Arabidopsis thaliana: one gene and its partners. The protein of the gene in region 1 binds, or shares a complex with, the protein of each later gene. Each region holds a gene or a part of one and is shown in the gene's direction. Other genes may lie near its edges.

Region 1 (3,986 bases):
GCAATTACCCCTTTTTTGGGGTCTTGCTGAATGTTGTATTTTGAGATTTGTTGTAATACGCATTTTGAGATCGTTCAGAAGAGTTTCAACTTCTTTACTCTGTTCAGTTGTCACAATAAAATGGCTGTTTGAAACATTTTTTTTTTTTTGTATATACCAAATGGCTAACTTTTTTATTGTAATTATTGATGATTTATCATCATAAAGTCATCAAGTTAGAAGATACAAGGAGTGATCAGTGTGGTGTGTAATTGTCTATACAAATTAGTACATGAACGAGATTTATTTAGTTAATGACTATAATTAACATTTTGGTCACACAAATAGCCGGAGATTTCACTGGTTTTTCTACAAGTCTCTTTACTCGATTTTTAGCCTTTACTGTGTGAAATAGAAAACTTAAAAAAACTCCAAAAAACTTATTATTTGCAGAAGAGACTTGGGCCTGATAAGTACTTATTATTGGGTCATTGGGCCTCGCTTAATAACCTGATATTGTAATGTTGTTGAAGCCTTTTAATCCTTGTATTTAGCTCTCTCTTGTTTGTTTCTCTATAAAATCAAAAGATGATTAAAACAAAAACAATCATCTCTAATTCTTCTCCTTAACCCTAATTGCTACGTTTCACTTATTAAAAGAAAGATTGAAACGTAAGAACGTTTGGAGAAAAACCAAATCCAAACGGACCGTTCTAAGTCTCGGAGATTCATCGCCAAAAGGTCCTTATTTTGAGTCACCTATCTCATTACGTGTCATAGTAAACCCATGGATTCGTCGATAGCAAAACCTTTTGCATAAGAAACTAGTTTTATGGATTGATGATACTTGTGTACCTCTAATTTTAGGTTTTTGTATTTTTTTTTACACAGTTTCTGATGATGAATGAATCTCGCTTTTTAATTATTTTTCTTGGCTAGCAACACTAGATAGTAGATACAATGGAAAATGAAAATGGAGATGATTGGCGGGAGGAGGTTTTCCAAAAGGTAACTCATAAGTCATAATCATCATAATAATAAAACTCCTTTCTTAAATCATCATCGGGATCATTCATTGTGGTGTGTAATTGTTTATACAGCTTAGATCCATGAGAGAGCGTTATCTACCACATGTGACTGATGTTTACCAGAGACTTGCAGACAAGTTGAACCATGTAAGATGTAGTTACTGTCAACTATTAACTCTCTGCCTTAAGTTGTATAGATGTAGTAATACTAGTTTGTTTGTTTTTTTCAGGAGGAATCGCTTCCGCAGCAACAAAGATCAAAGCACTTTGACAAGTTCCAAAGCATGAAGACAAACATAGAGCAATTGATCCAAGTCCTATCTCTTCGAAAGAGAAATATCATGCCGATATTAAAGGATTGTAGATGGGACTATTATGAGAAACGGATTATATATTTCTTAATTACGCTAAGAACCGGCTGGGAAGACAGTACAGCAAAGGCAGCTTCAAGATCAGTCTCATAATAATCAAGGAAATGCATTGTAGATATTTTGTCTCTCTCTCTTTTTATGTTGGTCTTCTCTCTTCTGATGTGTTTTGAACTCTCATCCTCAATGTTGTTGACTCCGGTGCTCTGTTTCTACCAGGCTCCTCCTATCAAGTTATGATCGAAAAATGAATAAAGACCCTTTTTTTTTTTGTAAATGTTAATTTCTCGGAGATTAGGTGTGTTTTTGGTGGGTGCTTTAGTGTTCCGTCAACTAGTAGGGTAGGGTTTGGTTTCTTATTGAATTCATGCAGAATTCTTTTACCCATCAACAGAGATTAAAGCAATTTGAGAGATTGAAGGCAATGTTGGAGCGAAGAATGATACAATTCCTATCTGTTTCAAAGAAGCAATGTCATGCCTTACTTGAAAGATTACTACGACAACCAGATTATTCCTTTGTTACTAGCAGGATCATCTCTCTGTTACTAGATGATATCACCATGATGAGTAATCGTATGTATGATTATATTGCTTTTCTTTGTAGATCAAATCCATCAAAGAGACCTCAATGAAATCTACCAGAGAGTAGCAGCCAAGTTGCAGCAAGTAAGTTACAGTTTTCATTCTTCCTAGGAAGTTAGTTTGCACGTGTACGTCCTCTGGAACAGTACTAAGTACTTTATGAAGAGTTTTACAAATTCAATGCAAGATCAGTTCATTGTTACAAATGAAAGTCCTACAACTTAGGATTCTTGTTACCCATTTAACAAAGTAAAAGGTTCGTCAGACTCTTATACTTACAGATAGTTCACTAGAAGTTAACCTTCTGACAGATATATTCCTTCCCAAACCTACAGAGGTTGTAAACTTTTAACGTTCATCTATATGTTTGTTTCTTTTCTACTGAATACGTTCCGTTTTCTCTCTAGGAGGATTCTCTTTCGCATCAGAAACAAAGATCAGATCAGTTTGAGAAATTGAAACGAGGCAAGACAGTGTTGGAGGGAATGCTACGTTTCCTATCTCTTTCAAAGAGCAATATCAAACCTGACTTGAAGGATAGTATGGATTATCGCAAGAACAACATTATGAATTTCTTAAATATGCAGAGTCTGAGGAAGACAGTACAGAAACTGCAGCTTACGAAATCTGAGATTCAGCCTATGCAGCAACCACTATCTCAGACAGTTCAAGATCAGTCTCATGATGACCAAACAACTCTGCAGATGCAATCAATGAGCATGCAGGGTGCTGGGTCAAGGGTACAACAGATCAGGCAAGGTGTACTTCAATCCCTTGAAATTGGCACTCCAGGGATCTCTGCCTCTCCTCTCCTTCCGGAGCTTACCAGTCCTGATGGAAATATTATAAATCCTTTGACAAGTACTTGTGGAAAATCGAGTGCTACTGAGCTGCCTATTGAACGCCTTATTAGAGCCGTAAGTAACGTTACTAATTTTGAAGGGTATATTGCAACAGGGCAGTGTCATTGCTGCCATCCCTCATTTGCCGTGGAAACATTGTTCTGATCTTGATGTTTGCTTTCTGTTGTTTTCAGATGAAATCCATCTCACCACAAGCGCTTTCGTCTGCAGTATGTGATATTAGATCTGTTGTAAGCATGGTTGATAGGATTGCTGGTTCAGTACCAGGCAAAGGTTCAAGAGCTTCATTTGGTGTGGACTTGGTTGCAATGACTAAGTGCCATCTCCAAGAAAGAAACTTCATGACGCAAGATGGCGACCATGAAAAGGAAGCGTCAGACAACCCCAATGCCATCAAGTGTTGCTTCATTGGGAGGAAAGCGTTGGTAATAGCTACAAGCATTTTGCTGGTTTGGTAACATCAGATATGGAATCTACTGTGACTTGTGGTGGCAAGAAGCCAAGAACTGAGGTATGGTTTTCAGTTACACTTCCCTTAGGTATATCTGAAAATTGACACACACACAACAGATAAAATTTGGAAGCACAATGTTTTGTGTGCTCTAGTGTAGACTGTGTAGTGTCCTGAGCTCAAGATCTTTCCGATTACCTCAAGAGTAAGATCACTCCGGCAGGCTTAGCGTCATGGTTATGTGTGTAAACAGAGCATTTTTTGAGAAAAGAGTAAAAAGTGATAAAAGCTGTAAAGAAGTTTTGACTGGAACAGAGACTTAGGCCAAAAGCAAAGACTGGAGAGACAGACTCATTACAATGACCCCACACACTCACATACACACCTGACACCACCACTCAACTCTATTTTCCAATTGTTAACTAACAAAAATTAACTAGCCTAATCACATACAAAGACAAAATCAAGAAAACATGGTGGAAGAACCCTAAAACCTCATCTCTCACCATCAATTCTGATATAAAGAACGAAGAAGAAGCTGAAAGAGAAAACATAAAACAGAACTTAGAGATTTTTCTAAGTAGGTTTGAGATTCTGAAACATTGAATCCCATTTGATATCTTCAAAATAAGTATCTTGAGCGTAAAGTTTCTCATCCTTGAAACTGTAATCGAAAACCATGGGACTTGAGAAGCTATCGATTCTACAAGGAG
Region 2 (7,954 bases), 3.5 Mb from region 1:
CTTCTTCTAGAGCTTCTACATATTCGTGACATCTCTTCATTTTCTGGGTGTAATCCATGTCACCGCTCTTGAACATCATCATTATGAACAGATCTTAGACTCGTTTTTGCTATGAGTTACAGTTACGAAAACATAAATCTTGAGAGAGACAGAGAAGAGTTTTGGATCTAAAATGAGAGAGAAAGGATAAAACTTTGACGTTTTTAAGTTGGAAGTTTTAAAGGGCAGAGAAAGAGGATTGGTGTCTAATCGAGGTCGGGCCGTCGCGTACCTAAAACCGAATCTTCTTGATGTTTAGATTTATTCGGATTTTACTTGGGAAAGGGTAGAATGGTAAATATAGGAATAGGCTGAGGTTTGTTTGATACAGGGAGAATATTCGGGGATATGTGGATTCCTTCCTTTCCATATTCTATCGAGCTGGCGATGATGTCAGCATTCTCATGACGTTGACGTTGAGATAAGAACGACGAGTCATTTTAGTCATTACTAACTCTTTCTTTTTTCTTCGGTTATTCTCTACCTATTTTAGAAATATACACATGAATTTTTTTGTAATAACAAACGAGTGAAGAAGAATATCCATAGAGATTGGAATCAAGATATGTAACCAGAAAATTTTAAACATTCATTAAATTTACAGTTTAGAATATATTATATGGTATCATATCATAAATTACATTTTTATCAGAAAAGAAAAAGATAAAGAAGTTTTTGGCAAAAGTGGAGGAATATTCCTCGAGAGTAGGGGAGAAACTAAGCTGGAAAAAAACATATTAAATTGGAAAAAATTGGGAAGGAGAGAATCTTTGGAAGAGTGACATTCACACATATCCAGATCCCCCCGTTTCCTCATGAATTGTTAAATTTTGGCCCTTCACGCTATCGAAGAGCCACCTGCCCCATATCACACCAACCTACTCGCCTCTTTTCACGCGCTTCATTGTGTGTTGTTGTGTTGTGATATATTCAAGCAATTCTCGTGAATACCTGACGATTCTAAATTGGTTGGCGACAAAAACACACACAAAAAAACACACACTATAAAACGGAATTAAGTGTCTAATTTTGAGTATGTATTCTTGAGAAAATTTCTCTAAATAGTTTGGAGATTGAGGTTTTTGTACTGTCTGCTACGGTTACCAAACTGTAGAAACTATTGTGTATCAATAATTAAATTTGGATTTTTAAGGACAATTGTAAAAGCTTATAACTAGGTGATGGATTGAGTTGTGGTAAAGTCAAATTGTTCGAGAGGTCGTAAACAGTGAGAAGCAATTTAAGGAAGATGATAATTATTCATTTGTGATGGTTTCTTTGAGTTATGGTCTTATGGATAATGTCCATGGATGTGAAGACCACCAACATTGTATTAGATAAAAAAAAACTACCACGTGAAAAGTAGTTGATTTTGGGTTCTCATGACTTCTCACAAACTCACGTTTCCATAGCATTGCATGGCAATTTACAATGTGTTGCCCCTCCCTTAGTACTACCAATACTACCATATGAACAACGATCGGGATCAGCAAAATCTATAGCTTTGTAGCCGTCTTCTATGACTCATCTCTTCCACAAAAAGTCATTGACATCAACTAGTCTAAGATGACTGACATACGAAATTGGATCCTATTTTCCACTAGGCCACTCTGAAAAGAAAAAAACACAGATAAAAAGGCCATGCGGCCCATGTCCAACTTTTGGACCAATCTTAAATGGCCTTCACAATGGTTATCATGGCCTTTATTTGATTCAAGTCTGGACTAACTACAACTATGTATACAAAATGTTTATCCACATAGCCCAAAATAAGATATCAAATTGGTTACTTTCATTTTTTTTTACGTGATCGACCTTAAGCTTGTTGTTAGTTTTGGCGTTCGATGAACCACCTCCAAACCAATTATATTCTTCACAAGATTCTCTGCATTTATCCCACAGATGGTAAACAATCTAATCAAATTAAATTCACTTCTTCACCAAAAAAAATAAAATTAAATTCATTGCCCAATTTACACAAATAAAAAGATAGTAACGACCAAGTCCTTTGTATATCCCATTTTCTATTCGGAGCATCCAAACCAAATTTTGTCAATCTAATTTATCTTCTCCTCTCCCGGAGAAGAAGGAAACTTACAATTTACAAAGAACGAGCTTCAATAAAAATTTCCAAAGAAATTACCGTCGGCGAATCGTTAGGCTCGAGAAGAATCACCAAATTCCAAGGGGAGAGAGACTGAATTTTCTTTTGATTCACGTAACAACAACGCTCAGAGACTATGTCGTCGGAGGTGAAACAGCTGATCGTCGTTGCTGAAGGCACCGCCGCTTTGGGTCCTTATTGGCAAACCATCGTCTCCGACTATCTCGAGAAAATCATCAGGTTTTTCTTTTTATGAACCTTGTATCTCTTTTAATCCTCGTTATTTGATTTTCATTCGGAGTTAGGGTTTAGCTGATACCGTTCGAATCAGGCTTTAATTTCAATTGGTTAGATCAAACCTTTGTTTATCCTCTGATTCCACAATGTTTTGTTGTTCGTTGTTAGTACTGTGTTTATGTATTTGATTGTTCTGTGTTTCATATTGAGCAATCACTTTACGTTACCTTATGGTTCCTACATTCTTTTTTTGTGTTAGGACATTGTTTTCGATACAACGCATTCATAAAGCAATGAATTTGTAGTTTCTCACTTCGATCACGTAAAATTGATATTAATATGTGATTACAGAGAATTTAGTATATAATTGCCTGTATAGTTTGTAACTAATCACATTGTTGGCTATTCTTAATATCCACTCAACATAGTATTGTATTTCAAAGTAGCGTTTTTGTATGTTAAAATTTCAATTACATAATCTGTCTATGCATTCTTTGCATTTGTCCAGGTCTTTCTGTGGCAGTGAGTTAAATGGAGAGGTACTATATCTGACTTATCCTCGTTTTTAAGTTTACTCAAGTTTTCATTCTTGAGCAAACAGTTAATCAATGTTTTTGACCAAACTCATATACATTCGTTATCTGTCAAATCATTGCGACACAAAAAATAACAGAGCAAATTGGTAGTTTGATGTGTCTGATCGAGTCTTTATATATTCACTAAACTTGCAGAGGAACCCTGTTTCTACTGTTGAGCTATCACTGGTGATCTTCAATTCTCATGGTTCATATTGTGGTACGTGTTGTGCTTCATCTTGTGATATCCAAATACAAATATTATTTGGGTGCTTTCTCATGGCCCTGGTTACATTAGCTTTTGTTTTAGTAATGTTGTTCTTATCTTTCATTCTTCTTAGCTTGCTTGGTACAACGGAGTGGCTGGACAAGGGATGTTGATATTTTCTTGCATTGGCTTTCTTCCATACAATTTGGTGGTGGTGGTTTCAATGAGGTTGCCACAGCTGAAGGGCTTGCCGAAGCATTGATGGTGGGAAACTTGATCTCTTTTCATCTGTGACACAACTATAAGACATATGTTTGGGCCACTTTCTTTCAAGCTACTTTTGACTAATTTACTTTCTCAATAAAATTAACTTTTTTCTTTCCATGGCTTCATTTTATGTGGTGGTGCTTCTGTCAGCGATTTTCTCGATCCTTAAACCTCACAATTTTCTCTGACTTCATGACACAGATGTTTTCTCCTCCTTCAGGCCAAGCTCAACCAAGTAACGATCTGAAAAGACACTGTATCCTAATCACAGCCAGCAATCCTCACATATTGCCAACACCTGTATATCGTCCACGATTGCAAAATGTGGAACGGAATGAGAATGGTGATGCGCAAGCTGAGAGTCGATTATCAGATGCTGAGACAGTGGCTTCATATTTTGCTAAGGTACTTTTTTTAACTGATTCCCCCAGGTATTACAACTAGCTATAATTACTCCTTTTAATGGGAAATTACTAACCTGCCATATTGGTGTGCAGTGTTCTGTTTCTTTGTCTGTTGTATGTCCAAAGCAGCTTCCAACAATTAGAGCACTATACAATGCGGTGAGACTGCGTGTCTATTTGCTATTCACTAGATGTACATCTATCAAAAGTCTTTCTTTTGTCAGACAGCTCTTTCAAAGGCTGTCTTTATTCTCAATGCTATAAACTGGTGTAATCTTTGTTTTATACTGTTTTAAATGCAGGGAAAGCCCAATCAACAAAGTGCGGACTTGTCAATTGACACGGCTAAGAACACATTCTATCTTGTCCTGATCTCGGAGAATTTTGTGGAGGCATGTGCTGCCTTAAGTCATTCTGCTACAAATTTGCCACAGACTCAGAGCCCTGTGAAAGTGGACAGGGCCACTGTTGCTCCATCTATTCCAGTCACTGGGCAACCTCCAGCTCCTGTGTCATCAGGTTCTTCTACTGACAACATCCATTTTTCTTAGTCCAACTATCTTGATTTTTCTTTGTGCTTCTTTGGATTCTATCCTGCTTCTCTATATGAAGATCTCTTTTTGTATGATTTTCAGCCAATGGACCTATTCAGAATCGGCAACCAGTTTCTGTTGGACCAGTTCCAACTGCTACTGTGAAAGTTGTAAGTCTATTTGATCTTTTTAGTCAGTTGGAGGAGTCAGCTCTATCTATTGGCAACCGACTCTTGTATGTTTTATAAGAATTATTTACTAGATATTAGCCGAAAATGAATTGTAAATTTATTCTCTGGTGCTTGATAAGACATTACAAATTTTTATGTGTTAATCAACTAGATTTAATGTTAAGTTCATATGAATATCCCATTTGTGAAATAATATTGTATACTCAATCAGCTTATTAGATAGCATATCTTCACATTAGTAGAAGCCTGTTAATCAGATTTTTGGAATGAAATTGCAGGAGCCTAGCACCGTAACTTCTATGGCACCAGTTCCTAGTTTTCCCCATATCCCGGCTGTAGCTCGGCCTGCTACACAAGCAATTCCTTCGATTCAAACATCTTCAGCATCACCAGTTTCTCAGGATATGGTCAGCAACGCCGAGAATGCACCAGATATTAAGCCTGTGGTGGTCAGTGGAATGACGCCACCATTGCGTACTGGTCCTCCTGGTGGAGCCAATGTAAATCTGCTTAATAATCTTTCTCAAGTCCGACAAGTCATGAGCTCTGCAGCTCTGGCAGGTGCAGCCTCATCGGTTGGGCAAAGTGCGGTTGCAATGCATATGTCAAATATGATATCAACAGGAATGGCTACATCTTTGCCTCCTTCACAAACTGTGTTTTCAACTGGACAGCAGGGAATTACTTCAATGGCTGGTTCGGGTGCACTAATGGGATCTGCACAAACGGGACAAAGCCCGGGTCCTAATAATGCCTTTAGTCCTCAAACAACGTCAAATGTCGCTTCAAACCTTGGTGTTTCACAACCAATGCAAGGGATGAACCAAGGAAGTCATTCTGGAGCAATGATGCAAGGTGGAATTTCCATGAACCAAAACATGATGAGTGGTCTTGGTCAAGGAAATGTCTCCTCTGGAACAGGTGGAATGATGCCTACTCCAGGAGTTGGCCAACAAGCGCAATCAGGAATACAACAACTTGGTGGCAGTAACAGCTCAGCTCCTAATATGCAGCTATCACAGCCATCATCGGGGGCTATGCAGACTTCACAATCCAAATATGTGAAAGTCTGGGAGGTAATGTCAGTTTATCTTGTCTAAAATAACGGTGATCTTGTGCTAACTTTTACTTACATTTTCAAATTCATGCAGGGAAATTTATCTGGGCAAAGGCAAGGGCAGCCTGTTCTTATCACCAGACTTGAGGTGTGTTTAGGGGCACTTACTATGCACTTTTCTTTCCCCTTTTCTGAATTTACTGGGATCACATGCTTAAGCACATCTTCCTCTGTAGAACTTTGTTGAATTGTTCCAAGTAGATATTAACTAACGTCTTTGTTTATATTTGACAGGGTTACCGAAGTGCTTCTGCCTCTGATTCGTAAGTTTATAACTAATTGAAATATGAAAACTGCTTCCTTACTAAACCTTGTCAGGAGAGCAGTCGACTCCTTAAGAAATGATTGTAGCTGCTAAACTAATTTTTGCTTTCTCTTTTTGTGCATCTCCCCAGGTTGGCAGCAAACTGGCCACCAACTATGCAGATTGTTCGTCTCATATCCCAGGACCATATGAATAACAAGTAATATCTTCGTGCTATATCCTTCCTTATTCCAAATGGCTCATGGGTGGATGTTGATTTCATGCCACTAAATATTTCACCTGACTTTGCATCAGGCAATATGTTGGCAAAGCTGACTTCCTTGTGTTTCGGGCCATGAGTCAACATGGGTTCTTAGGACAACTTCAGGATAAAAAGCTTGTGAGTATTGTTGATAATTTATGCCACTTGTCTCCTTTTCCTTATTGTTTCACTACAAATTTAATAACAAAATGATGAATGGTGTTTACTGGTTTATTAGATATTAGGATGAATTAGATGTTAAGAATGAAAATCTTTGAAAAAATATATGTACTTACATCTGTAAACATGTTCTCGGTGAATCTATCAATCTCTTGCTATGTTCACCATACACTTAACGATGCCTACGCTTGTATGTAGCCTTGTTTTGATTAGCCTAATCGTGTGCCATACTATTGTCATTTTCACGCTTAGCTTTTGTGGAGTTGTATATGATAACTTTGTCATCCTCCGTATTGCAGTGTGCAGTCATCCAGTTGCCATCACAGACGCTTCTTCTCTCTGTCTCTGACAAGGCTTGCCGCTTGATTGGAATGCTTTTCCCAGGGGTAAGGAAGTACTAAGTTTAAGGTGTCTATATATGTTTTGCTTCACATTAGTGACTCTTGAGGGTTGTTTTGTTTACTCCTAGGATATGGTTGTGTTTAAACCACAAATTCCAAATCAGCAACAGCAGCAGCAACAACAACTCCACCAGCAACAACAACAACAACAGCAGATCCAGCAGCAGCAGCAACAACAACAACACCTCCAACAGCAACAGATGCCACAACTCCAGCAACAACAACAACAACACCAGCAGCAACAGCAACAGCAGCATCAATTGTCACAGCTCCAACATCATCAGCAGCAACAACAACAACAGCAGCAACAACAGCAGCAGCATCAATTGACACAGCTTCAACACCATCATCAGCAGCAGCAGCAGGCGTCGCCGCTGAATCAGATGCAGCAGCAGACTTCGCCGCTCAATCAGATGCAGCAACAGACTTCGCCTCTGAATCAGATGCAGCAGCAACAGCAGCCTCAACAGATGGTAATGGGTGGTCAAGCTTTTGCACAAGCCCCTGGAAGATCACAACAAGGTGGTGGTGGAGGGCAGCCTAACATGCCTGGAGCTGGCTTCATGGGATAAATAAAAATATCAGCTTCAGTGCTAATTAATTAGATTTATCATAACTTAACATTCTTTCTTTCTTCTTTGGTCAACTCGATCGTCGCCATGGTTTTAGACTCTGTTTAGTTGTCCTTTCTGTTCTTTTGAGCCTGAAAATGGCATGTCCTATTCTGTATGGGTCTGACCATTTAGCTACGGCACCAAACTATTTTGTCATTTTCTTAAGATAAATAGAAAAAAAGTGGATGATTTCTATTTTGTTGGTGTTTCTATATGCTGATAATAACTTGTTATCTAGCTTTTTATTTGATTGACAAGGAAATAAAGGATCAAACCCATTTCATAGTTGGGTCATGATTGGACTTTGTGTTTTATTTGCAGGTAAGAAATATACATTTCTATTAGAAAAGGTTTATGGTTGATAGTTAAACAAACTTATCTAAATATACCATTTCCAACTGCATATTGCATCAGAGAATTACTTGCTCAAAATTACATCATTGACAAACTAGGATTTTTTAAATCTTTTAAGTTTAAATTATCATCATAAATCAAATTTCATTTTGAAAACCAAGAAAATAGAAACCCGTAAACCTTACACAAAAATGCTTCTCATGTTGTTGTAGCTGTTTTCTTAT
Region 3 (4,655 bases), about 15 Mb from region 1:
AACTTTAGACATTTGGAGTATTTTCTTAGAATATCCAGAGATTGATGTAGACTGGTTTTTGCAGCCGGATGATCAACCATGTACTGGAGAAGTCGGTTTGTTCCCCCAGCACCTTGGGGCCACGGATAGACTTCTGAATGCAAATCACGACGAGGTTTACTTCAAGGGAATGCCCATGTATAAGGAAACAGTGAGTAGTTTTAGAACTTCTATATTTACATCTAAACAAAATTGCAAACTTACGTCAGTTAAACGATTCCTCTGTTCTGTTGCGTTCTGCAGCGACTTAGAAGACACGGTGACATTGTGAAGCGAACTGTTGGAGGATATTACAATGTTCAAGGTAGAGCTGATGATACCATGAACCTTGGAGGCATTAAGGTACTACATACATTGTATGTCTATATACCCAACTTCGATTAGAGTTGGAACTTTTCTCAAGTTTTCATCTTTTGTTTATCTGTTATAACGCAGACGAGTTCTATTGAGATCGAACGTGTGTGTGATCAAGCTGATGAGTGCATCTCTGAGACAGCTGCAGTCACCTTAACACCACCTAACGGTGGTCCAGAGTTGCTGGTCATATTCGCAGTCTTGAAAGAAGGGTTCAAGCAACAGAGTGGAGAAGAGCTAAAGATGAAATTTTCAAGAACCATTCAAAAAGATCTTAATCCTCTCTTCAAGGTAATCAATATCTTTGATGAGTTTTTCTATAAATTCAAAGTTATTATAAGATTTTTTGTGTGCTTAAAAATGGATTTTGCAAAAATATTGCAGGTGAGTTTTGTGAAGATTGTGCCGGAGTTTCCAAGAACAGCTTCTAGCAAGCTACTGAGAAGAGTCTTGAGAGATCAGATTAAGCAAGAACTACTATCCTTACGAAGTCGAATATAAAGCCTTGATCTTAAGTTTAACTAGAATAAAATAAGATCTGCTGAGTAGTAGTTGATCTACACATGATTGGGTACTGCTCGGTCCAAATAAGAAAACCGATTAAATCAAATCTACCGGTCCTTGAATTCTCTAGCCTGATTCACATTTACATGACTAAACACTTTGACTTTGTTATGTTTGTGTTTGTGTTTGGTGTATATATTTCATATCAGATTATAATCTTAATTTTCCTCAAGATTATCTTTTGTTTAAATTTGTAAAAATATTTCGGACGATACTCATACATCCCATAAGGCTTTGAGACATCTGAATAGTATCACCACGAATGACCTATGGAACCAGAAGACAACTAGCCGCACCCAACGATACAAAGATAGCGTTAAGATCATTCGAGGTCTAGCTATATCGTGGTATACAAAATCTAGAAAATATAAAGTAAAACCATAGCATTGTTTGGTTCATTTGATTGATGCAAGTCAAACAAACTCGAAAGAATGAGATCTTAATACCAAAACTTCAAAAACACTTGATATTAAACACCTTATTTGGAGGAAACTCTTTTATGATGCTTGTGGTTGGCGGTTTTTTTTTTTGAACCAGAGTGTTGTGAAAATAATGAATTGGGCCTGACTAAAACAAATTGGGCCACAGAAAAAAAAAGAATTAGTAAGAGCAACAAAAAAAAAAGAACCCTAAAGAGCGCGTTTGGATCTGGTTTTATGAAAACCACGAGAGATTTCGTGTTGAGATGATTATGATGTATTGAAGAGTTTTGATCAAAAGAGAGATATAAACCTCGCAACATCAAGAGAAGATCGAGCTAGAAATTGACAACGTCTTCCAATTCCGAGCGCTTCAAGACGATGATTTTGGGGTTATAGCCTATAATTTGAAGAAAAAAAAGGATTGAACTTGTTGTATCTATCCCCAAGTGATGTGGACTAATGTTTTCAGAATTGTAAGTCTTATTCTATCATCTTTTTCCCATTGTGTGTGAAAATTGACTTATTGGTAATACATGATGATTTTTCTTCTACAGGGTGGTCTACATAATGTTTCTTGGTTTCAGTTTCTTCCAAGTGAAACTGAGCTGAATCCTGGCTTTGATAGAAGGTTAAAGCTTTAAGCTTTTTCAATGGGTTGTTTTAGTTTTTCCTTATTGACATTGTACTAATTAGTCTGGTCACTCTGGAGTTTTTTTTTCAGTTCAAGAGCTGAGCAGAATGAAGTTGCAACATATCTTGTACTTTCCTCTCATCTACGGTTGCAGAAGGAAGGGTTTCTTACCACTTGGACCAATTCTTTTGTTGGACCTTGGGATCCATCTCAAGGTTTATACAACCCTGGTAATGCTAAATCTCAATCTGGTACTTTTAAATTTTGTAACTTTATTTACAGTTGTATCTAACCATCATTCCTCGCTGCTGCTCAGATGAAAAGATTAAGCTTTGGCTTTTTCTACCTGGGCGTCATTCATCAATATCTGATAAAGCTCAGGCTGCTGTGTCAAAGCTTAGAGGTATATTCTCCTTATGATTTATTTTCTTCATCGTATTTTGTCGCCTCAATAGATTCAAACATATTGTCTCTATTCTGATTATGACTGTTTAGTGAACATGCCTGTGGTCTATGGTTATCTTGGTATACTTGTCCTTACTTTTCTTTTTCTCCTGTTGAAAGTTGTTGCGTCAGGAATTTGGGTAGCACCTGGGGACTCTGAAGAGATATCAGTTGCCTTTTCACAGTCTTTACGTAATTGCATCGAAAGGTTAGTTTTTTATTATCTGCAGACATAATGGTTGGATTAAGGAAATAATGGATTAGAGTATCATATTAACTTGTTTGATATCGCCACAGAGCATTATCTGGAATTTCCTACATGAGATTTGGAGATGTGTTTTCAAAATTCAGCCCTCAAAGCGAAGAATATTTGAGGTATCTGCAACCTCTTACCAATATAAGCGAGACCATGCGTTATAATCTCTGATGGTTTATTAGCAAATATATCGTCTTTTTTCTCTATGGCTTTTCGATTATGTATTATCCTATAGCTTTCATTAAATAGGGTCTGTGAGACCTAGGTTTCCTGAGTGTAATTCTTAGAATCCAAAGAATTCTATGATTAGGTCTGTGGCTCGCTAATGCTCTGTGGCTCGCTAATGCTCTGTGGATATTTATGTAGGAGGGGACAGCCTACTGTTGAATTCATCTTTGCTGCTACCGAAGAGGCAGTTTTTGTCCATGTCATTATATCTGCCAAGTCCGTAAAGCTTTTTGTTATACTGTTTCAGTTATGGTTTAGTGCTTCACATAGTTATTGAAACTAACTATAATATTTTATGCACGAAGGAATGTCCGCACACTTTCAAGTGGCGATGCTGAAAGAATGTTAAGGAGTTCTTTGAAAAACTCCAGTTATAGGCTTCCAGGTTAGTTATTTTTCCATCATCATTTGGATTGATAAATTATCCTACTTGTCTACGATTTTGATGGAACTAGTTCTAGATGTTTGTTGACCTCTTCTTGCTTTGTACTGTTAGAATACTGTATAGATTGAGAGCATTTTGAACTCAATTTTCAATGCATCCACTCCAAAAAGAAACCTAGTGTAGTCTAGTGCTACTGCTACCTAGCTTCATCAAGCAAAGATTTAACACCTCATTTTTTTGCATGTCACAAGAGCTTTTCGTAAATGTTTGGGATTGGCCAAGAGTGAGGATAATAGATTATGCTACATGTAATTCTATGAAGCCAAACTTTTTGAATTGATACCTGAAATGAAATCCGCCTTCTACACATGCTTAAAGAAAGATAAGAGCTTTTTATTTGATAGAAACACTTCTCACAGGCCTATGTTATTCCCACCAGTTATTGTTTCTCCTCATGGAATGCGGGGCAGCCTTACTGGATTCTGTCCCAATGACCTTGTCAAGCAAGTCTACTTCAGGTACATTTCATACCTTTGCTTTCGAATGCCAAGTCAACATTTTTTGTGAGTGCGTAGCCGTTAATCTGATTAATCCAATTTTCTCAACTAATACTTTTTTCTCACACAGTTCTGGAAACTTAAAAACTTCGACTGGATATGTTGGTCTCCCTTCTCATATTGGTCGTGGGTCCCGTCTGATAAATGGCAATCATTGCTACGTGGAAGTTACACTTGGTTGCTGCCAAAATAGAAATGACAACACAAGTCAAGCTAATTCGACCTTTGCAGTTAACTTGCCCCATAACCAGTGTCCTGAACCTTCAGTTGGGAGTAAAGATCACCGTAAAGGACAATCAGATCTTTCATCAGTTTGTGAAAAAAAGTTCATCTATCCAGCTGAGGCAGTGCTTGTACCAATCTTACAGTCGGCATTTGCGAAATTTTCTTTGAAAAGGTAAATTGACTAGGTGAGGTGGTTATTTAGAATTCATTGAGTACTTAACGGTAAGATCCAGATTGGCTATACATAAAATTTATTTCGTTTCTGTTGAATTCCATGTATGTATTAAAACAAATTGACTCTGTGTGATCGTAGTGGAAGTTTTAGTAATTGTTTCAGACCCATGTTAAATAGATGTAATAGTTGTGATCTTTCCTCAGCTTGGAGCTGATGCAAGGTGAAATCATACTTGCAGATTTTGGCTTCAAAACTGGATAGGCCCGTCACTAGCAGGCTCATCTTTGTTTATGCACTGGTGAGTCTTTTTCATCTATCTCGTCGACATTTGAAGATCAAAAGAAATCCACAAAACAGAGGTCTTGAAATGCCCAA
Region 4 (5,188 bases), on another chromosome or scaffold:
TGATCAAGGCAACTGTAGTGATGTGTTTCCTAGATTTTCTTCTAGAGTAGTAATTTCCCATCTCTTAGGAATCTTCAAGATATGAAGAGTTTCTCTATAAGGTATAGATTATATATTTAGAATCGATTTTTGCAAGTATAAAAGATCTGATCAAGATCTCTTAAATAAATTCTCTCTCAAAGTCTGTAAGAATGAGAAGAGAGGAATGAAAGTGATGGAAGAAAAAGCTATGGGGCTTTTAACCTATGACTTCCTCTAAAAGTTTGTTGCTCTCCCTTTCTTATTCTCCACCACTTTCTACAAATAAAGAGAAGAGAAACTAGATAGAGGTTTGTAAATATATATATCATTAATTTTTAACGAAAGTTTTTTTTGTGTGTTGAATCATTTCCAAAGGTCTTAGCTGGGATTACTAGGTCAAGTGGTAGTAATTAGTGTGGTTAATAATATACTTATAGTGGTTAGTTTTAGAGAGTAATGAGGGTGTGATAATAAAGCATATAGAGGAAGGTAATTATGTGAAGGGGGTCAAAAGTAGAAAGAAATAGAAAAGAGAGAAGAAGGGGCCAAAAAGGGAATTGGAGTGATGATTCTAAGACTTAGCTTTCTTTGGGGAAAATGATGTTGTCTTCACTCCCTTTTTCTTCACCCACATTTACACTCACTCACACACATGAAAAAATCCACTTACCACTTGAATCTTCTTCCTCTCCATTTTATATAAATGTTGTATATCTATATTTGCTTCTCGTTTTTTAGTCTTTCTAAGATTACTTTTTTTTTTTTAATTTTACTTTATTATGAGTTAAGAAAGAGAATAAAGAAAACAGTATCACAAGAACTAAATTACATACATGATACATATATGGATATGATTCTCCAATATGCATCTTCTACCTTCGATAAACGTATTTACAACTTGTGCAACAAATGTTTTTAAGAAATCAAGCTGAAAGTTTATAGAAGAAAAAACAAAGACTTACGTCCAATATTTGTCAAGAAACACCATATGTGATATGTACCTCAATATATCCTCATCAGTCATCACGTTTTTATATATTATATTCCCATTTATTTTACAGCAGACAAATCATCATTTACATAGTAGAGAGCAGGTATACAAACTCAAATCCCCAAAAATACCATTATTCCATTTTGTTCTCGTCAAGCACTTTGTCTCTGATGTTATATCAGCAAATATACACGTATGTATTCATCGTATGTTTCATCTTAAATTGTAGAAGATATTGTTAGGCATGTCTCGATCGGATTAGACCTGTCCGACCAACCCAAAACACTGAAAACTTACATTATTTATGTTTTGATAATTTTCGGTCTTATAATGGTTTTTTAGAATAACAATTCATGTTTTTCACTCAAGTAAATAAAAAATATAGAAAGAGATAACAATCTAAATCGGATATAAATAGTCGTGGATATTTTTGTTTGGATAAGAGTACCACCGGTTAAAGAGAGATTCATTACTCGGTTCGAATACGGTTTAGCTAATGGAAGATCCTTGATTTGTCTGGTTAAGTGGGCCGTGTTGAAGGAGCGCGTGAAGCCCACGCGGAGCCCTTGAATAATAATAAAAAAAGGCTGACTGTAATTTGTTGATTATATTGAGAGAGAAGCCAACGGAAGAAAACAGAGAATAATTCCTCTCTCATTGGTCATCAGACACAAAAGACTCTCAAACCCTAACTAGTCTCGCTTTTTCGCTCTCTCGAACCTTCTTCGATCTCTGTCCTTTCTCGATCACTTGCTAAAATCAAAATTTTAGGCGGGAATTCGATACCCAAGCCCAAGACCCAAACACTTCCCCCCTCACGTTTCGCTGCTTTCGTTAGCTAGCTTTCTCAAACGAGATCTGGGCTTGTCGAAAGAAACGTGTATGTTGATTGTTTCGATTCTTTCTCCTACCAATTGAATCTGAGATTTTGGTTTTGCTATTGGGCTCTGTCTTGTTTCGTTTTCGAATTCCAAATTCCTCAATTTCGAATTTCTCTTCTGCTTGAAGCTTTTTTATCGAGTCTAATCTTCGTTTCTAGTGATTACTTCGCTTGTCTGATTTTTTTTTTGTTAGCTTCATTCCTAAATAGAACAAATTGATGAAACTTTCTTGTTGACTAGATCCAAAATGTATGGACTTGGTATCTAATTTTACTTTTACAAACTTCCGAAAACTTTCTAGGGTTTTGTTTCTGATGCTAGTTTCATTTTTTTTGAGCTTGGAGCAGAAAAGTTGAGAATTGATAGCATCTAATGCTAAATTAGATTTTCTTACTTCTTAGTTTTGGTCACTATGAAATATGAGCTGGTGCTTAGTTATAACTTTTGTATTGTTTGTGCTACAGAATTGTTAGTTTAGATAGTATCGAAGCTGAATTTGCTTTCTGTAGTAGTATTATTTCCTTATCACTCTATGCTTTTTCTGATTTTTGTTTCCTTGTGTAGGATATATATGCAGTGAGCCAGTGATCATGCAAAAGAAATTCAGAGTGCGATAGAGAAGATGGAGCCTGAACGTTTAAAATTTGGAGGTACATTGGTTTCGAATTTGGAGCTTCTTCAGTTCGTGAAGTTATTTTTTTTGTAGCTCGTTGTCCTTTGTTTTCCCCTTTGGCTCACCTTGAGGTCAATGTGTTGTTTGTTTCAAGTGCAGGTCCAAGAGAGTTGTGCGGTGCTGCGGATCTTATATCTCAATTCAAACTAGTGCAACACCATGAATTCTTTTGCAAGAAATCTCTTCCTGTTTCTTTATCAGATTCCCATTATCTTCATAATGTGGTTGGGGACACAGAGATCAGAAAAGGAGAAGGAATGCAATTAGATCAGCTTATTGAGAGCATATCACAGAGCCGGGAGACTAATATTCGCATCCAGCCTTTTGATATAGATGAGCTTCAGGAGTCTTTCCAACTAAATGATATGACTCCTGTTGAATTACCCCCAGTAAGAATCTGATCTTTCTCACTCTCTCTTGGTGTTTTGAGTTTTAAATGTCCTTCTTTTCATAAGAGTAACAGTATTTGCCATTACATTGAACTTAAAAACTGGCTCAGTAATGAATGTCCTATTTCCTGTAACATCAAGTTCTTTGGTTAATTGAGAATCTTTCCCTAGTAATGTGAATTACATCTGGGTGTCCTATGGAGATGATTGACCTTGGTACTATTCTTCTTTCAGGCAGAGAAGGGAGCTCCTACAATTCCGTCTAAGTCAAAAAGTGAGTCGAAAGATAGGGACAGGAAACATAAGAAACACAAGGACAGGGATAAAGACAAAGATAGAGAGCATAAGAAGCACAAGCACAAACATAAAGATAGAAGCAAAGATAAAGATAAAGACAAGGACCGAGACAGAAAGAAGGACAAAAATGGCCACCATGATTCGGGTGATCATTCTAAGAAACATCATGATAAGGTAAAGAACATGTCTGTTTGTTGAAGGTGTCTGTCTTTCCAAAGAAGAATAGCTTAATGGAAAGTTTTGTATTTGTTGCTCTTGAGTTAGGCTGCTTTTTTGACCTGCTTGGCATGAAATTAGCAGATCTAGAGACTGCTCTAGAACATTTTATTGAGTTTTTATGGAGCCTTTTCACTTATATTTCAGAAAAGGAAACACGATGGAGATGAAGATCTTAATGACGTTCAGAGGCACAAAAAAAACAAGGTAATGGTAATGAAGTGGGGCCTCAAATTTTTCTCGTTCTTCATTAACACTCAACATGAAATTTCCACCATAATGTTTTTTTTGCACAAAGGTGCTAGAGAACTAGTAATATGTCTTTGATAAATTGTATTGATTCAGCTCTTGATTGAACCTGTTGCAGCATAAAAGCTCAAAGCTTGATGAGGTGGGTGCAATAAGGGTTGCTGGCTAAAAAAGTTGTAGACATTCCAATTTTGTATTCTGCACTCGAGTAGGTGTCATGGAGACTTTAGAAGCACTTTTCAACTCACTGTAGACAGCTTATTAGGTAAGCATCTGTGTACTGTCCTGTCTCTTTTGTACAATTTTTTCGGTGTTCTTGGTATTCCGGGATCCTTCATAGAACATATACATCTGTTATAGTCCAGATACTATACTTTAGGGGAACTGAACCCATAATATTTTTAGGCAGATACTTGAGTTTTGTGTTGTATTCTTTAAGTTACTGAAATCCAAATAACGCAACATTTGCAAGGGAACATTGTATGTGTCTCTGTGCGACTTCTGTATTGGTATTGGATTCTTTTCTGGTCTTAAGAAAGTTGCCGTGATACATAACTAATGAAAATCGGGTAACCTGTCGAAAGAACATATCAAAGATAGGATGTGTTTCTAAATAGAACAGTCTCAGCTAACACAAATCATTGCTTACATTTTTGTTACTTTCTTATATTTTCAAGTTGTGTTGAACAAAATGATTGGCTTTGTAGGTTAAAAGCCCAAACTGGTGAATTCATTCCTTGAAGAAGAAAGGGGAAATTTGTGAAATGAAGAAGAAGAATTTAGTATCATAATTGATTTGGTGTCAGATTTGTAACATTTTTCTTGGGGTGTTCTATTCCATCTCTTTTCTGTCTATATACTCAATACAACACAAATCGTTACTATTCATGTATAATAATTTACTTACCAATTGATGTTGTTGAAAAAGTAACTGTCAAATCCACTTATTTACTTTTACTTGAGTGTCACAATGTCTATCTGTCTGCGACTATGCCTGTAAAAATTGATCAAATATCTGAACTATTTTCTCAAAAATATGTCGGATTATATGATTACATCTGTCGAAATCTCAAACACAAATTGTAACACTAGAAGCCATCCCCGAGAGTTCTCCATCATTTACTCTTTTCCATTCACCATCTATCATAAGGCAGCTTCTACTTTCCTCTTCATCATTCCACATCAGATTCTCTTCTGCTACAGTTTCAGTTTCCTCATATGCATGTTCTATTTCCATCTCAGCTTCTTCCTCGTATGATTCCAATGTCACATCATTTGATTCAGAATCTCCTGCACTCTTCCTTGCTCGCTTGCATGGCGATTTCTCCAATTGATTTCTATTACACTCAGCTCCTCTCTTCGCATTGTTGTTACCTTGTGCTTGTTTTGAGATGCTCTTAGCATTCTGATTGTCAAGAAGAGGTAAACGTCCAGAAGATCCAATGATCCGAGGCAACATACCAATTGGACA

What was found.
Region 2: AT1G15770 (region 1) and PFT1 share a complex: the UniProt entries of both Arabidopsis thaliana proteins name them as parts of the mediator complex.
Region 3: AT1G15770 (region 1) and GCT share a complex: the UniProt entries of both Arabidopsis thaliana proteins name them as parts of the mediator complex.
Region 4: AT1G15770 (region 1) and MED19A share a complex: the UniProt entries of both Arabidopsis thaliana proteins name them as parts of the mediator complex.

What each region holds. Positions count from the first base shown.
Region 1 is NC_003070.9:5,426,186-5,430,171, reverse strand, and holds AT1G15770 (mediator of RNA polymerase II transcription subunit), read left to right. Parts: upstream 1-1,891; 5' UTR 1,892-1,956; coding exon 1,957-2,043; intron 2,044-2,366; coding exon 2,367-2,876; intron 2,877-2,995; coding exon 2,996-3,280; 3' UTR 3,281-3,464; downstream 3,465-3,986. Other genes in the region: AT1G15772 (mediator of RNA polymerase II transcription subunit), read left to right, coding at 940-987, 1,080-1,154, 1,238-1,471; AT1G15760 (Sterile alpha motif (SAM) domain-containing protein), read right to left, coding at 3,850-3,986. UniProt on the Arabidopsis thaliana protein: Component of the Mediator complex, a coactivator involved in the regulated transcription of nearly all RNA polymerase II-dependent genes.
Region 2 is NC_003070.9:8,968,772-8,976,725, reverse strand, and holds PFT1 (phytochrome and flowering time regulatory protein (PFT1)), read left to right. Parts: upstream 1-1,910; 5' UTR 1,911-2,279; coding exon 2,280-2,383; intron 2,384-2,888; coding exon 2,889-2,919; intron 2,920-3,111; coding exon 3,112-3,175; intron 3,176-3,296; coding exon 3,297-3,427; intron 3,428-3,631; coding exon 3,632-3,835; intron 3,836-3,927; coding exon 3,928-3,993; intron 3,994-4,136; coding exon 4,137-4,353; intron 4,354-4,469; coding exon 4,470-4,537; intron 4,538-4,836; coding exon 4,837-5,634; intron 5,635-5,709; coding exon 5,710-5,763; intron 5,764-5,909; coding exon 5,910-5,938; intron 5,939-6,070; coding exon 6,071-6,139; intron 6,140-6,234; coding exon 6,235-6,319; intron 6,320-6,660; coding exon 6,661-6,747; intron 6,748-6,830; coding exon 6,831-7,334; 3' UTR 7,335-7,661; downstream 7,662-7,954. Other genes in the region: AT1G25550 (myb-like transcription factor family protein), read right to left, coding at 1-82. UniProt on the Arabidopsis thaliana protein: Component of the Mediator complex, a coactivator involved in the regulated transcription of nearly all RNA polymerase II-dependent genes.
Region 3 is NC_003070.9:20,635,766-20,640,420, forward strand, and holds the start of GCT (RNA polymerase II transcription mediator), read left to right. Parts: upstream 1-1,614; 5' UTR 1,615-1,828; coding exon 1,829-1,852; intron 1,853-1,933; coding exon 1,934-2,007; intron 2,008-2,100; coding exon 2,101-2,240; intron 2,241-2,326; coding exon 2,327-2,413; intron 2,414-2,574; coding exon 2,575-2,662; intron 2,663-2,751; coding exon 2,752-2,829; intron 2,830-3,076; coding exon 3,077-3,154; intron 3,155-3,243; coding exon 3,244-3,323; intron 3,324-3,576; coding exon of another isoform or gene 3,577-3,631; intron 3,632-3,727; coding exon of another isoform or gene 3,728-3,762; coding exon 3,763-3,841; intron 3,842-3,950; coding exon 3,951-4,277; intron 4,278-4,518; coding exon 4,519-4,578; intron 4,579-4,655. Other genes in the region: AAE18 (acyl-activating enzyme 18), read left to right, coding at 65-190, 283-381, 475-684, 778-894. UniProt on the Arabidopsis thaliana protein: Component of the Mediator complex, a coactivator involved in the regulated transcription of nearly all RNA polymerase II-dependent genes.
Region 4 is NC_003076.8:3,952,613-3,957,800, reverse strand, and holds MED19A (mediator of RNA polymerase II transcription subunit 19a-like protein), read left to right. Parts: upstream 1-1,615; 5' UTR 1,616-1,892; intron 1,893-2,457; 5' UTR 2,458-2,515; coding exon 2,516-2,543; intron 2,544-2,665; coding exon 2,666-2,955; intron 2,956-3,189; coding exon 3,190-3,426; intron 3,427-3,615; coding exon 3,616-3,675; intron 3,676-3,835; coding exon 3,836-3,886; 3' UTR 3,887-3,982; intron 3,983-4,424; 3' UTR 4,425-4,661; downstream 4,662-5,188. Other genes in the region: CLE22 (CLAVATA3/ESR-RELATED 22), read right to left, coding at 1-61; AT5G12220 (las1-like family protein), read right to left, coding at 4,787-5,188. UniProt on the Arabidopsis thaliana protein: Component of the Mediator complex, a coactivator involved in the regulated transcription of nearly all RNA polymerase II-dependent genes.